Mus musculus: one gene and its partner. The protein of the gene in region 2 purifies or fractionates together with the protein of the main gene of each other region. This does not show direct contact. Links are inferred from orthologs where the notes say so. Each region holds a gene or a part of one and is shown on either strand. Other genes may lie near its edges.

What was found.
Region 1: the proteins of Pag1 (region 2) and Fyn purify together in Homo sapiens (co-immunoprecipitation; 3 studies listed by BioGRID and IntAct, with this or other methods). This does not show direct contact. The link is inferred for Mus musculus from reciprocal best matches to the Homo sapiens genes PAG1 and FYN.

The regions. Positions count from the first base shown.
Region 1 is NC_000076.6:39,366,750-39,374,210, forward strand, and holds the start of Fyn (tyrosine-protein kinase Fyn), read left to right. Parts: upstream 1-3,049; 5' UTR 3,050-3,441; intron 3,442-7,461. UniProt on the Homo sapiens protein: Non-receptor tyrosine-protein kinase that plays a role in many biological processes including regulation of cell growth and survival, cell adhesion, integrin-mediated signaling, cytoskeletal remodeling, cell motility, immune response and axon guidance.
Region 2 is NC_000069.6:9,828,615-9,835,968, forward strand, and holds the start of Pag1 (phosphoprotein associated with glycosphingolipid-enriched microdomains 1), read right to left. Parts: upstream 5,066-7,354; 5' UTR 4,597-5,065; intron 1,756-4,596; exon of another isoform or gene 1,705-1,755; intron 1-1,704. UniProt on the Homo sapiens protein: Negatively regulates TCR (T-cell antigen receptor)-mediated signaling in T-cells and FCER1 (high affinity immunoglobulin epsilon receptor)-mediated signaling in mast cells.

The DNA of each region.
Region 1 (7,461 bases), on a different chromosome or scaffold from region 2:
TACCCCACCATTCCCCATTTCTGCCATTTTCTCCTCTACTTTCCGGGGCTTTGCAGTTCCTCCAGATTACGCACTCACATATGAAAACTTGGAACTGGGAACCACAGATGAGAAAGAGCATGGGATGTGTGTTTTCCTGGGTCTGAGTCACATCACTCAAAATGATCTCTACCCAAAATAGCTATCCAAATAGCTCTCTATCAAAATAGCTCTACCCATTTGCCTGAAAAATTCCATGGTTTCATTTTTCTTTACAGTTGAGTATTCCACTGGGTACGCGTCCCACATTGTCTTTAGCTGAAGAACATTTAGGTTGTCACCATGTCCTAGCTATTGTGACTAGAATGGCAATGAATATGGCTGAGCAAGTAGCTGTGAGGTATGATGTCATCATGTCTTTTGGGCATATGCTGAGGCGTGGTCACTTAGAATGCATTTCCTTTGTACATATCTGTGTGTCTTTGTGTAAGGTGTGTATGCATACATGTTTAGAGGTGTTCATACATGCTTGGGGGTGCACTTGCACACATATGCAGTGCCTGTGGAAGCCAGAGGTCAATGCTGGGCTTTCTAAATTGGTTCTCTAACATATTTCTCAGACAGGGTCTCTCACTGTTTCTGGAGGTCCAGACACTTGCCACTGTAACGGCTTTCATTTTTGTTTTGTTTTGTATTTTTCTCTTTTCTTTTCTTTTCTTTTCTTTCTTTTTCTTTTCTTTTCTTTTTTCTTTCTTTCTTTTTTTTTTTTTTTCTGAGACAGAGTTTCTCTGTATAGCCCTGGCTGTCTTGGAACTCACTTTGTAGACCAGGCTGTAGACCTCAAACTCAGAAATCCACCTGCTTCTGCCTCCCAAGTGCTGGGATTAAAGGAGTGAGCCACTACCGCCCGGCTGTAACGGTTTTGATAATGTGTGTTTTGGGGCTTTGTTAATGTGTGTTTTGGGGACTCAGACTCAGTCTCATGTGTACAGCAGCAAGCCATTTATTCACTGATCCATCTCCCTTCCTTGCACATTAGTTTTTTTTTCCAGTTTCAGTAACCATTTTTATTTTCTTGTTTGATTGGTAAGAAAACAAAAATCTCAAAATGGGAAACAGCTTAGCTAATAACACTAAATATACATTGAAAGCAAAACAGGAAACACAGATTAGACAAACCAAAAAAGAACACTAGACTAGAAACAGGGGACTTAAAGGTGAGAGAAACAGAACAAACAAAAACCCAAGCAAATAACAACCAAATCTAAGAGAAATTCTAGAACAATGTCTCTCCATTTGTTGGGTAATAGATACTGCCTGTAAGAAAATAAAATTTCAGGTTTAGAACAAAGCATGGCTTGCCTTGGGTAGGCTGAGGACACTGTTTAAGTCAAATCTACTTTGATGACCTTTGGGAGCAGATCAAAATGGGAAATAATGCTAACATCTTTCCAGGGCTTTCTCACTTGTTCACAACATCAGCAAATCTTCTTGTGGAGACAGAATCCCTTTAAAGCTATCCGGAGGAAGAGTTGTGGGGTTTTCCTGTTTTTTTGTTTTTATTTATTTTTTTCAAAAGTAAGTAAAGAGAAAAAAACAGAACAGAGTCTTGCTGGGAGTTGGTTAATTTGTCATTTAATCATTTTGCCTCTTATTGGTCCACTAATTACGTGAAGAAGCTATTATGCTGCAGATGCCAAAAATGAGACTCCTCTCAAAGAAATTATTAACAATGGAGTGACTTAGTACCATCTGCTCCAGGTTTCAGGAAGAGATCGGACATGGAATTCCTCAGTGTCACCTTCTCTTGTCCTCAGTTTCCTCGTCCATCACATGAGGATCATTTACTGAATAGCAGCAAATTTCTCAAAAGAGCACTGCGGAAAAGACAAAGAAAAAAAAGTCAGCAAAAGAGACTGGTATTTTTAAACTACAGGGGAAATGTACTGAGCAGGAAAGATAACACAGACCTTGAGCGCCTAAGGAAGCCAAGGCTGCTTCGCTTAAACTTACTTCTTAGAAGATTAGATTTGCTGAGGGGGAGGGATGAGTTTCTTACCAAAATCATTAAAGAAAATGATTCTGAACATGTCTTAAAACAGAGTTCTCAGTAAACAGGAATTGCCTATAAAGAAAATCAGGAAGGCAAAATGTTTCTTTTTATGAAGTTACATCCTGCCATAGAAAAGCTGAATCGGAAATAAAGACTGCAGACCAACCCGGCTATTATTTCGTCAAGGAAAATCTGAGCAAAAAGCTCAGCTCAGCCACCAGCGAAAACAAGAAAACCAAGAGAAGTTTGAATGCCCCAAGGAGCCAGACGAGCAATGGCCACTGGTAAACAGCTAGGGAAAAGCACAAGCAATCTCTACTGGGTGGTTTTGGGACTCTTTGTTGCAGGCCCCTTGAATTTCAGTCATACTTCTCTTTCACTTTTCCTGGGGTAGGTGTGGGGGGGGGGGCGGGGAGCATATTTGGGTACCCAAGAAAATGAGACTAACAAGTCATTAATTTCTTACTATTTGTTGTGCGTTTGCTGGTCCTAGCTTTCCCAGTTTCTGCAATGGTACTTCTCTACTTTGCTCCTCACTTCCCTAATTTGCCATCGCCATTCTTAACACCTTTCCATTTTATCCTCCCACTCTCAAAGGCGAGGCTATCTCTTTGGAGAAATAGGTTCCCATGGCTGTGAGGCTGGAGTGGCAGGTGCCAGTCTCCACTGGCAAAGTGGAAAGCAGCTCATTCCCTGCGCACTCTCCTGCCCACCTCACCAACTCGCAACTCCACACGATCCTCAGACACACAACTCTTCCTTCTCCGCCAACCTCGCATCCTCTCACACACCCTGTGGCCGTGCGCACCGCAGGCTGCCCGCCACCACTGTAAAGCTCAACCCACTCGGCGGCCCCACCCATGGCCGTCCCGCCTCCGACGCATTCACCAATGGCTGCCGGCGCTCAGCCCTCAGCGGGCCCTTTGATAGGGCAGAAAGACCTGACAGTCTCAGGGCGTGTCCCGCCCCCTCTCGAACCCCTCGGGATCCGGAGCAGCCCGAGCATCAGCGAGAGTAGCTGCGAGAAGCCGCGGCGGTGGCGGCGGCGCGTCGGTGCAGTTGCGCCATCTGTCAGGAGCGCAGCCGGCGGGGAGGGGGCTCCGCAGAGAGGAGGAGGGGTCGCCGTGCGCCGGGCCTCCGAGACCCGCCCGCTGGTCAAGAGCTCAGCGAGGCCGCCTCTAGCCGGAGCGTTTCGAGGACTCCCCGGGCACACACAAAGCCGCCACCCGCGCCAGGGAGGGACCGGGCTGCCGGGCCGGGGACACCGGCGCCGCCCCCTCGGCGCTTCGCGAGGCCCACGAGCTCCTGGGCCCCGCCGCGGAGCCGCGGGAGCCGCCTGGGCCGCGCCGGAGGAGGGCGGGGAGAGGACCATGTGAATGTGCTCCGGAGCTGAGCGCCAAGCCAAGCAGGTAAGCGACAGGGGATGCGCGGAGCCTCGGGATGCTGCGGAGACGCCCGGCCCAGCGCCCCCGCACGGGCTGCTCCCGCTGCGGTCCCGCCGCGCAGCCTCCAGGGCGCCCCGCGACGCAGGACACTGATGCGGGGTGCCGCCCCGAGGCTGCGCAGGCACCGGGGTGTCTTTCCTCGGCCGCCGGCGGGTGCCGGGTGGAAAATAGGAATTGGCTTGGGGGTGAGGTTGGCCCAGCTCCGCCCCCGCCCTCCTTTCGCGGCCCCCCGCGGGGACCAGGGCTGTGTGTGTTGTTTTAATGTCAGGGATGATGTAATCACTTAATAATTGATGCCCCGTGCTGCTTTCCTCCCCACCCAACCCCTGCCCCACTCCTCCACCTCTCGGCTTCCTCCCTCGGTGGCCCTTGCCGTTCCCCAGCGCATCCTCCTGCCTATTTCTGGAACCTCCCTTGCACTTCCCCCACCCTCCCCTTCACCCTTCCTGTGCTACCACCCACCCACCCTTCCCCTTTCCCCTGTGTCTGGCCTTGCCTCCTCTTCCTCTGTCCCCCCACCCCTTTTGCTCTCTCAAGCTTATTTCTCCTCCCTTCTCGACACGCTGGATTTCCTCCCTACTTCCCTAGGTCGGTAGACGGTTTTGTTTGGTCTCCTCTAGGCTCTCTTATCTTTGAGGCCACAGGGACTGACTGAGCTAGAAAGAGGCCACCAAGCTTGGGCCCAGGAGGCGTTTGCTGGGACTCACTGGGAGGAGGGATAATAAAATCACCCGTTTTGCCCCTCCTTCCTCTAATAAATCAGACTCATTCTGTGTGTGTGTGTGTGTGAGTGTGTGTGTGACACAAAGAGCCCTTTCAGTTCATAGAGGAGAGACACATAAAGTACCCAGGGCACCATGCTTCTTGTGTCTCATCCCTGGGGCGTCCCTTTCTTTCTGGTGAAGCAGTTGATCTCTTAGTCTTTTCTGCCACACTTACCAAAAAATGAAGGCTCCCGGATCCCGGGTGGCAGGTGCAGGCATTTAGCTGTGTTTACAGACTGGTAGCATTGAGTGGCAACTGCAGTTTTCTCTATTTAAGGTGGTGGTGGGGGGGATTATTTCAGCTGTTTTAGGAGTTGCTATACTTTCAAGGAACCTTCCCCTATCCCTCATTTCCCCCCTTTTCTTCTTGGGGGATAGTTACTGATACCTGAGACAGGATAAATTGATGAGGGATCAGAAGAATTTTGTGTCTGAGTCAGAATCAAACTGTTTAACACGAGTGAGGCAGCCTGACTGGATTCCCTAAAGTCCAAGGCCTCTTTGCTGAGTGAAGTCTTTTGAAATGTGCTCTGGTCTGCCCAGCAATGCTGCCTAGCCCTTTTATTTAAGAAACTGGGGCCATGGATAGCAAGCACTTGGGCTGGCGTTTGGAAGACCCTGGAGGTGTACCACTTGTCTGCTTCAAGGTTGACTTTGGAAGCTCACATCCGGCCTCTCACCCTTTGTGCTCAGTCTCCCTGTCTGGCTCTACCCAGTGAGTACCACACATTCAGACTTGGAGGAAGTGGTTTCAACTCTCACACTTTGGGTCTAGTTAATTATGAACAGGGGATGTAGATGTCTGAGTTCAGAACCTATGGTGTTCCTCTGAAGGTAGAAATGTTAATGTAAGTCTCAGGCTTAGTTTGTCAAAACTTAGGTCTGATCTGCTGATTCCTGGGTTGTGGGGTCTCAACTGTTGAAAGTAACGAAACTGTCCCAAGTTTACTCTTTAGCTGTTTTATCTGAAAAGAGTTGTGATCCATTAAGCTGACATCTTTTGTGGAACATATATATTTATACATATACACACACAGTAGAAGGGCTAATACTGAATGTTCTCTGAAAACAAAGGCTGGTTTGTTGGGATGCCAGACCCAGAAAGGAAAGTCAGTACACGATAAACTTGCACCGTACTGACCAAGTCAGAGGCACTTATTAATGATAAGGTTGCATGAGTGTGGGCGAACACCTCTACTTTCTGGAGGTCTGAAGTCCCCTCCCCCATCGTCTGATGTTCTTGAAGCCCAGGCCCAGCACACGTGTCAATTCTGAAGCCTTTGCCAGCTTCTCTGCTCCAGGCAAGCCACCATGTCTTCAAATTTGTCTTCCAACACCATTATCAGATTCTGTTTTTGTTTTCTGTCCATTTCTGCCATTGGGTAGAGAACCTAACCCAATGGTTTCTTGGTTTCTGTCAGGTTTTACTTTTGTTGGTATTACCTGGTAGTTCCATTTAATGAGCGACAAATGTGAATTAGATCAACGATATGGACCCAACGTCTTTTAAAAGAGACTCATGTTAGTAGCTAGAGCAGGCCTGAAAATGTATAATGGTGCTAAACCAAAATATATTTATTTTTGTTCACATGTAGCCCTGCATAGGTGTCTCTGCTCAGTAGCTGGCTTTCTTCTGTCCTGAGTGATTCTGGGTCCCATTATCCTATCATGCCACAGCTTTCCATAACCTGTTGTAACAGTTTCAACCTGTTTCAACGGATTGGTGGGATGAAGAGTTGGGGAGGGTGCATCTACCTTTAAAATGCTTTGGTCTGCACATGTCACTTCCACTCTGTCTTTAGAAGAGTCGTGGCTATATGACCATGCTTAACAGCAAGAGAATCCAATGAGAAGTGTAGGTTAGCCATGTGCCCCGAGAAAGGAAAAGGCTTGTGTGTTTGGTAAACACTTTTGCATAATAACACTTAACAAAAGCCATCATTGTTTGGTTGCTTTGATTTTCATCTTCAGCATGTTTTTTAAAAACCTGGCATTTTGTGATTTCGGGGGACCACTTATCACGGGGCGATCCTTAGCCACCACTCAGTCCTGGCTCTGCGGTCTTTGATGGGGTTCTTTTACCACAGAAGCACCCATCTTGGCCTAGTCTTCTTCAGGCAAGTCTGGAAACTCCAGAGAGTTTCTGTAAGGGAAGAGCCTTACAGATCGCAGTACCATTTTACGTACTTTCCTTAACAATTAAACTGACACTTGGTGACCCCAGAGGAGGGAGGGCTTCATGGGGACTGGACAGTGCAGACAAGGGAGTGAGAGTCGTATCTATTTGCTTAGGTTACTAAGGACTGAACCTCCGTTACTGTCTATTCACTGACACGGCTTTCTTTTATGACAGTTGCTGGTTTAGTTGGGAATTAGGCTTTTCCTCTTTTCCTTCAGCATCTTTCCATCACCAGCTTTCTTGGCTGTGTCTTTTCATCCAACACGTTACATGGAGGCTAATCCGTTAGCTTCTGGACCTGGAATAGGGGAACTGCTAGTGTTCCAAATGGTTCCTGGTCTCCACCGACCCCCTACATTAGTATAGGAGTCCAGCCCATACTGGTGATTACAGTTTATATTGTACTTTTATTTTTTTCAGTGACCATTTCCTTACATTTATCTGTCCTACAAACACTGTGCTGTTTCATGCAAAAAAGCAATGAGATAGGGCTGTGGCACTGAATGCATCGGAGCCCTTGTTCTACAGAAGCCCACAGCCTACTAGAGAAGATGGCAACAACACACAATAGCTGATGTTTATTGAGCACTCACCCTGGGTCATGTTCCACTTACAAGCTAATCTGAGCGATAATGATATGAAACAATGTCTCTGATAATCACTGTGTTGTGAAAGGAAAGTTACAAGCTTCAATAGTCTTGAGTAGCTAATTCTAAGGGAAGAGTCGGGATCAGGAACAGTTAGTGTGGCTACAGTATCTTTACCCTAGGCCACCAGGTGCAGGAGGAGGTAGGTGGGAGTGAGACTTGGTTAGCTGGATATTGTGGGAAGTCCTTTGTATCGTTTGGGATGCTGTAACTAGTTCAAAACTAGATGGGCACAGTGGAGATATGGACAGAGGGCTAGAACCAAGCTGAAGGAGAAATTGAAAAGATTGTTTTGAAAGTGCGTGTTCTGAGTGCCTTAGAGGAGGAGTTTCAAGTAGACCCGTGGCATGAGCCTCATTTGTATTTTATGAACTAACTTGGTCATAGTGTGGGA
Region 2 (7,354 bases):
TGTTAGATATGTGGGTGCATTTCCTTTAAAACACACACACACACACACACACACACACACAGTCATACCACAAATAACTACTACTGCTGTTGTAACTCTGACATTTTTAGATTTAAATAAACTTTAAAAAATCATTTGAGAAAAATCTTAGGCCTTTCTACTTCTCCTTTGTTCGAGGACAATGACGCAAACCTCAGACTCAAAGCACAACGGAAGCAAGTTTGCCTTGCCACCCTACCGGAAGCACTCAAACTTCTTACTTACAGAGTAACACGTGGCTTTCGCTCCTTCTTTCTCACAAAGTGATATGTGGTTTTTGATTTCTAACATAAATTAAGCTTAAGCTTCTACCTTGACAAAAACACAGAGCTGGTACTTCTTATTTAGCCAATCCACGCTGTGGACGGGAAAGTTTGCAGAGCCTGAGACTGTCCATCTCTACTATAGAACTTACTACAATAGCTGAAAAACCAGAGGCAGGAGGATATTCTGTAAGGAATATCAAAATGTTCTGAGCTCTACTTTTTCTTGCAAAACTTACTCATGTAATCTTGGATGCATTTCCTTTCTAGGTCCGTTTCTACGTTTGCAAAAGCACTACAGTATAGGAACTTCCCAAAAGGCTGGTGTCAGGGTGGAGGGAAACACTGTACATAATGTTGCCATAAACAGCCAACACACAGTGAGCGCTCACTCCCAGCTGAATATTACGATAAGAGCTCTTATCAGAAAGCATGACCAGTAGCGACTAGAAAAGTGGTCAGATAAATCATGCTCAAGGCTGTCTTCTCTCAAATCTACCCCAAGCCCCTGAACTCTGCAGCATCCTGACCTTGTCTGTATAACTTAAGTGTGTAACTTCCAAGTCAGCCCATACACTGAATGAGGTAGGATCAAAATCAAGTCCCAGCTCCTCAGATAAAAGTGAAAAATCCACAGGAGTAATGCGATTAAGGAAGAGTAAATGGTCTTTACTCACTTATATCCATATTACAATTAATGTGCAGACTATATGCCTGAGCCGTCTCCCATCCATGGACTAAGCAGGCCCAAGCCTGCTTAGCTTCAGAAATCATATAAGATTGGGTGAATGAAGGGTAGGATGTCTGTAGTTGTACATCAGTCTTCTGAGAGCAAAAGAAAACGGATGTGTGTGTTTTGAGGGGGGGAAGGATTTCTTGTAGATTTAAAAGTGACAACAGAAAATCCACTATAACAACACAAATAGGAAATAAAACATCCATATGGAAATTATTTTCACAGGGTTAGCTCTAGTTATAGCCATGTTCCAGGGAGACATTTGATCAGAAAATCCAGAACAGGGAACAGCTGGAATCTAGCTACTGAGGCAAAGTGTGTATGTATTGTTTGAAAAGGAAGGATGAAATATCAGTAGAGAGAACTCGGTTGGTGGCAGGAGTTCTTTTTGGCATACTGCAGTTGTGGCGTTGTGCCTCCAAAGGCTCTCAGAAGCTCACTACTGGAAACTCACTGTTGAGCAGCTTTGGAGAGACAGATACATGGCACGCACATACATACATACACACACACACATACACACACACACACACACACACAGAGAGGGGGGGGGTTAGGAGGGGAGAGAGATCCAGAGCATCAGCCAGGTAGCAGTGAGCATCCATCTTAGAGTACTTTTAGTGGTAAGGATATCAGCTAGGAGGGTTTCAGTAAACATTCACTCACCTGGGGTGAGTCAGCTGCCTAGGAGCTTTCTATAGCAATTGATTTCAGTATCTAAAAGATAAAGACCAGAATACCTAAGAAAGCCCAAAGTACCATGGCCACTCAATCACCCCACACCCTAGAACTCAGAAGAGAAACTCAACAGTCCATGGAGATTTTAAACCAAAATAGCTCGTATGGAATCCGCCAACAACTGCTTCCTATGGCTTTAAACCTAAGACTAAAGGAAGTGTGCCCATAGATGTGATGGATAAATGATTTCCACTTCAGAACACTGAGTTCAAGATAAGCACAAGGCCCCATCTCTCTGCCTGAGTGGAGTTCTTCCTTGGACACTGGGCTATGCTCAGAGACAATGCTGGCTGATTATTGCTGCTTGTGTCCATGTGGACCACAGACAGCAAAGACACAGGCTGCAGGGAGGCAGAATAGCGAGCATCAACCACCAATACAAAGTATCAAGTTACCCAACTTTTCTCTTTGGTTCTACGAATGTATAAACAGGGAAGAAAGAAGTAACAGAATCCAGTTTCAGCTGAAGGCAAAACACCCTGTTATCTTTCTCACAATAGCACTAAACGGGGTTTGCAACCAGGGCCTGGCATTTAATAACAGAGAAGTTGATGATAATAGCTTCCAGTCTCGAAGAAGGAGTGCTATTTAGCACTTTGCATACTTGAAACTTTAAACATAAACTTCCCGTGGAGAAAGGATAACCCACCCACATTGCTTGCAAGTTGAGGCAGCAGGGTCAAAGAACAAGATTCCAACAGGCATGTTTAAGATGCCAGCTCTAATTTCTACTACTTGATCTCTCTCGGCCTCAGTTTCTTCCTCTCTAACATCAAGACAAAGCCATCTCCATAGAAGGCCTTCAGGGAGGCACTGCTGGAGACAGTAAATCCAATATTAACATGTGGCCAGGGTGTTTATATCCTCTCTCCTATTACACATGTGCACTGCTTCTACTGACCTCCAGCAACAGCTGTTTAATGTCTACAGCTTATCCCAAGACAAATTTCCTTTCACAGCATGAAACTTTTTCCCCAAAGTCAGCCTACGATACTTGACACCAGCTCAATACCTTCTCATCAGGATTCCACTTAAGCCTCGCACAACCCAACCAGGAAGGTACTGCAATTACACCCACCTATTTTACAGATGGAGACGCCGGGCACAGAATTCCGGTATTGCTCAGATTCAAAGCCAGCAATAGTGCCAACAGCCTGGTCTCTTGAAAGCCCACACTTGGACAAAATTTCTTCTAGGGGTCAGCACTCAATGCTCCTATAAACTACAATGTGATAACTAGCTTTTCAACGTTAAAATAATCTTTCTTTTTTCTTAGAATCCTTAAAATAATAACTATGCTTAAACCAGGTGCCTATAACTAGTTAGTTCATCTTGTTATATCCACTGAAGCACTCTAACCCATACATGCCTCTTTCTAAAGGTCACCTAAATAAATCTCACATTGACTCACATCCCTGAGTTTTTATTTCAAATCCATATGCATGTATATATTTTTCTGTGTGCATATTTCTTTCCATCTATGGATACATGTGTATCACAGGGCAGCTGCAATATGAGCTGTTTGGTTAATGCAAAGCTGGTACTCTAAATATTATCTTTCTTTATAACAGTCACTGCCTATCAGTCACACAGCAGGGCTGTATGGTATTTCAAAGAATTCCTTTTACAAATTTAATCAACTCAAGTATTAAACATCAATGGCATTAATCCATTGCTCTGCTTAAAAGGAATCTCTAGGGGCAGCTGAGAATGAAAGGTTAAAGATTTCTACCCTTCAAAGTAGGCCACTGTAGCTACCTATAAATCATGCTCTTTGTTTATTAAGATAATTAAGGCCATCAGTGCACTTCACTTTCAGACTCAACAATTGTCTGGTATGAGCAAATCTCCACTTTTACTAAAACAAAAGGGGATGTGTTCTAAAGAGGGTTCTGTGCATGCTCTCTGTACAATGTATGGTATTTTAAAGCATGATTTATGTATCTAATTCCTTGAACTGCCTTGAAAAAAATACACCAAGTTCTTCCTCCCATGCTCCCTATTAGGAGAAGACAGTCTAATTTAAAGACTGCCCTGTTTCTGACTACGAACCACTATATCATGTCAACGTTTTTATTAAATACGGCTCAAGCTGGACTTGAAAAAAAAAATGGAGTGAGTAGAGGCCCAGATGCAGCCCCTGCAGATGCAAAGGTACCCAGCCAGGAGGCTTACATAAGAGATGCAGGACAACTCAGCCATCCTCGGAATCCTGTTTCTTTGAGACTTGCCCACATTCTTAAAGCATATGAATTAAAACGCATAGAGCACTTTTCTCATTTTCTATGCCTTGGAGCACAAAACACTCATTTGACACATAAGTTGTTTTTCCCTAAAGGGCTAGGCTCCAATTATGGGAGGTTGGCAACTTCTGCCTAAGGGAAGAGTGAAGTGGGATGTGCAGAAAGCCTGCAGGCCCGAGCAGCAATGTCTCAGCTTCTCATCTCTGTGCCAGTCCTCCGAGGGGATGGAGGGGATGTAGGCAGAGCTTCCTAGGATGGAGGTGGCTGACGTCCCTGACCCCACGCGGCGCAAAATCAAGGAGCTCAGAATGTGCAATTTAGCGGCGGGCCAAATGCCCTCGGAGCACCTGTCTCCCCTAGCACATTTCCAGCTGGCACATTCGGGAGAGGCAGGAGCCAGCCCTAGACTCCAGCCTTGAGTCTTCGAATGCCATGCCCCATCCTTTACAGTCCAGTACGCCTTCCTCCAGCCGCAGCCCCGCTAACGGGAGGTAAAACCTCGGCCTGGAACCACAGGAATAAAACGAACCTGTCCTTCCCACGCTGCCCGAAACTTCAGAAACTACAGTCAACTTACTGGTTCGCAGAGGTCTTCTGGGGCTCCAGAGCTCTAAAAAGCGCTGCAACTCCGCTGCTCGCAGCCGGGCTGGCCCGCGGTGGGCAGTGGTAGCGGGCGCAGGACCCTCCTGATCCTCGTCGCCTCGGTTCTGCCGTGCCGGGGGAGGTGCGCTCTCCCGGGCGCACCGGGCGGCCGCAGAGACTCGGACTGCACCGGGAACCCGAGCAAACGCCGTCGTGGCCGCCAGCCCTTGAGAGCTGTGCTCGGAGCTCCGGGTGCGTGTCTCCCTCTCTGAGGGAATGCGACACCACGGAGTCCCCGCACGAGAGGCTCCAGAGCGCTGCAGAGTCACCAGTCCGCCCCGGAGGAGCAGTCACAGCACCCGCGCGCCGGGCGGGAACCGCAGTCCGCACTGGCCGCCGCGCCGCGGAGAATGACAGCGCCGAGGCGGAGCAGCGCGCGGGACTCAGTGCGCATGTTCGCGACTGCTGCGGCACGTCACGGGGGCGGTGCCAACGGGCGGGGTTGGGCGGAGCGAGAAGGGTGGGGCGGGGTCGGGGGGGGGGTTGCTGCGAGGCTAATGTGGCTGCCAGCTGCAGGGCAAGGAGCTGGAGCTTCGCAAAATCAGGGCTGGTGACCAAAAACTCTGTGACTGAGGTTGTCTCCTTAGCCCATTGTCCCTTAAGAAGCAGTCTATGGGGAACTGCCTTAGGGTCCCAGGACAGCCTGCAAAGGTCAAGTTTAACCCAGATGGTTGCTTAACCTTCAAGGACTGCAATTTGCAGGACACCTTTCACTTTGATCTGATGCAGAGTAAGAACTTGAGGAGCTTGTAGGAGCCCTTTGTCCTGGCTGGACTCCAAAGTAAACACAGGAGACTCTGAGAGGTGGGGCCCAGGTATGTAGGTTGTAAATAGCCTTGCCCAAAGCTCCCCAAGAGAATGTGCTGGTTGTATGGTAATACAACACTTGCCTACGCACATTCAGAAGGTCTGGAGGATGGGGAATCCCTATTCCAATAGGGTCCAAGACTATTCCAGGGCTGCAAGCCTCCCACACCCTGTTCTTCCTTGCCACTTACGAGGACAGAGACCCCAGAGCAGCTACTGGCGTGTGGGTCTGCCTGAGAATCAGGTGAAAATGCTTTTAACTTGGAATTTCCAAGGCGTATCCACTATGGTTCGGGTTCACCCACTGGGCACTGGGGGAGGGAGTGGGAGGGGAGATTGTGTGGGGGAGTGGGGTGGGGTGGGGAGGACTCGAATATTGCCTGGAACAAGCTGCAGATAAATCTGACAAGGGTTTTGTTGGCCTTGAATTTTAACTTATTAAACAAGCAACCCGGAAATGGGGATAGACAGTGTGGAAACAAATAACCAGTCCAGATGTGACACTCAGGACTTCTGAGCCAAGTCCACTGAACTCTAAACCAAACAGTTATTTGTCTGACAAGTTCATTTGTTTTCTCTAATGGGGAAGAACAGGCACGAGTGATATTAAACATACACACATTCACTCAGGTAGTGTGAAGTTGGCTGGATAAAAACGGCTCATTAGGAGCAAAGGGGTGGGAATAGGGAGTTGAGTAAAGGAGAAAGGAATGTTAATACGTTGCAGAGGAGGATGTGTAGGAGATATTAAACTCAGTCTTCAGCTTGGAAAGGTACTTTGAGAATAAGGATGCAGGATCCAACTTGGCTGGATTTAGAGGACGGTGAGAGGTTCGTTGGTTTGAGAACTTATAAAGGTCTGGATTTCACCACCAGGCTGTACTAGTGACTTTTCTCATTGCTGTGACAAAATGTTTGGCAACAGCAGCGACTCAGGGAATGAAGGCTTTGGTTCGAGCCATGCTTTGAGGGTCCAGTCTACCATGGCGCAGAAGGCAGCAGCGTGAGGAAGTCGGTCACACGGCATTGACAGTCGGGATGGATGAGAGGTGTTTAGTCCTTTTTATTCCAATATCCCAGTCCATGCTATGGCACTGCCCAAGGGCAGCAAGAGCCTCCCCTCCTCAGATAAGCCTCTCTGGGAACACCTTTCCCTAAGACACACCAAGTCCTGTAAAGCTGACAAGATTAACCACCACAATGACTTACCTCATTGAATCCCACAATGATCTTCTAAATTAGATATAGGAAGTTATTGTATCTATTTTTTGCTCTTAAAAAAATGCATTCTGTGGGGCTTAGTTGATGCAGTGCTTGCTGCACACACAAGAGGACCTGGATTGGGATCCCTAGAAAGGGACCACTTACAAAGCCAGATGTTGAAGCCACATCTGCTATTTCAGATCTGGGGGTGTGGAGATGGAGCGATCAGTGGGACTTGGGGACCAGGCTCAATCAGGGACATCCAGGTTCAGTGAAAGATCCTGACTCAAAAATGAGGTGCAGAGCAATTGAGGAAAGCACCCACTATCAAACTCTGGGCTCTCCATGTGTGCTCATGCACACACATGATCATGTATATGCACATATGTCACACACACAGCAATCAAGTCAAAGAATAAGCACCAAGAAGAGAACGCCCACTGAGCAGGTACGCCATGCTCTGGCTCCGGTGTGAGCAAGCTTCAGGTAACAGGAAATGACTGGAATCTTATAAAGAAAACTCTGCAATATTTTCCACATAGTTTGAGAGACTGTGATTGTTTGAATATGCTCTGCCCAGGTTGGTGGCATTATTAGGAGGTGTGGCCTTGCTGGAATAGGTGTGTCACTGTGGTTGTGGGCTTTAATACCTTACTTCTAACTTCCTGGAAGCCAATATTCTG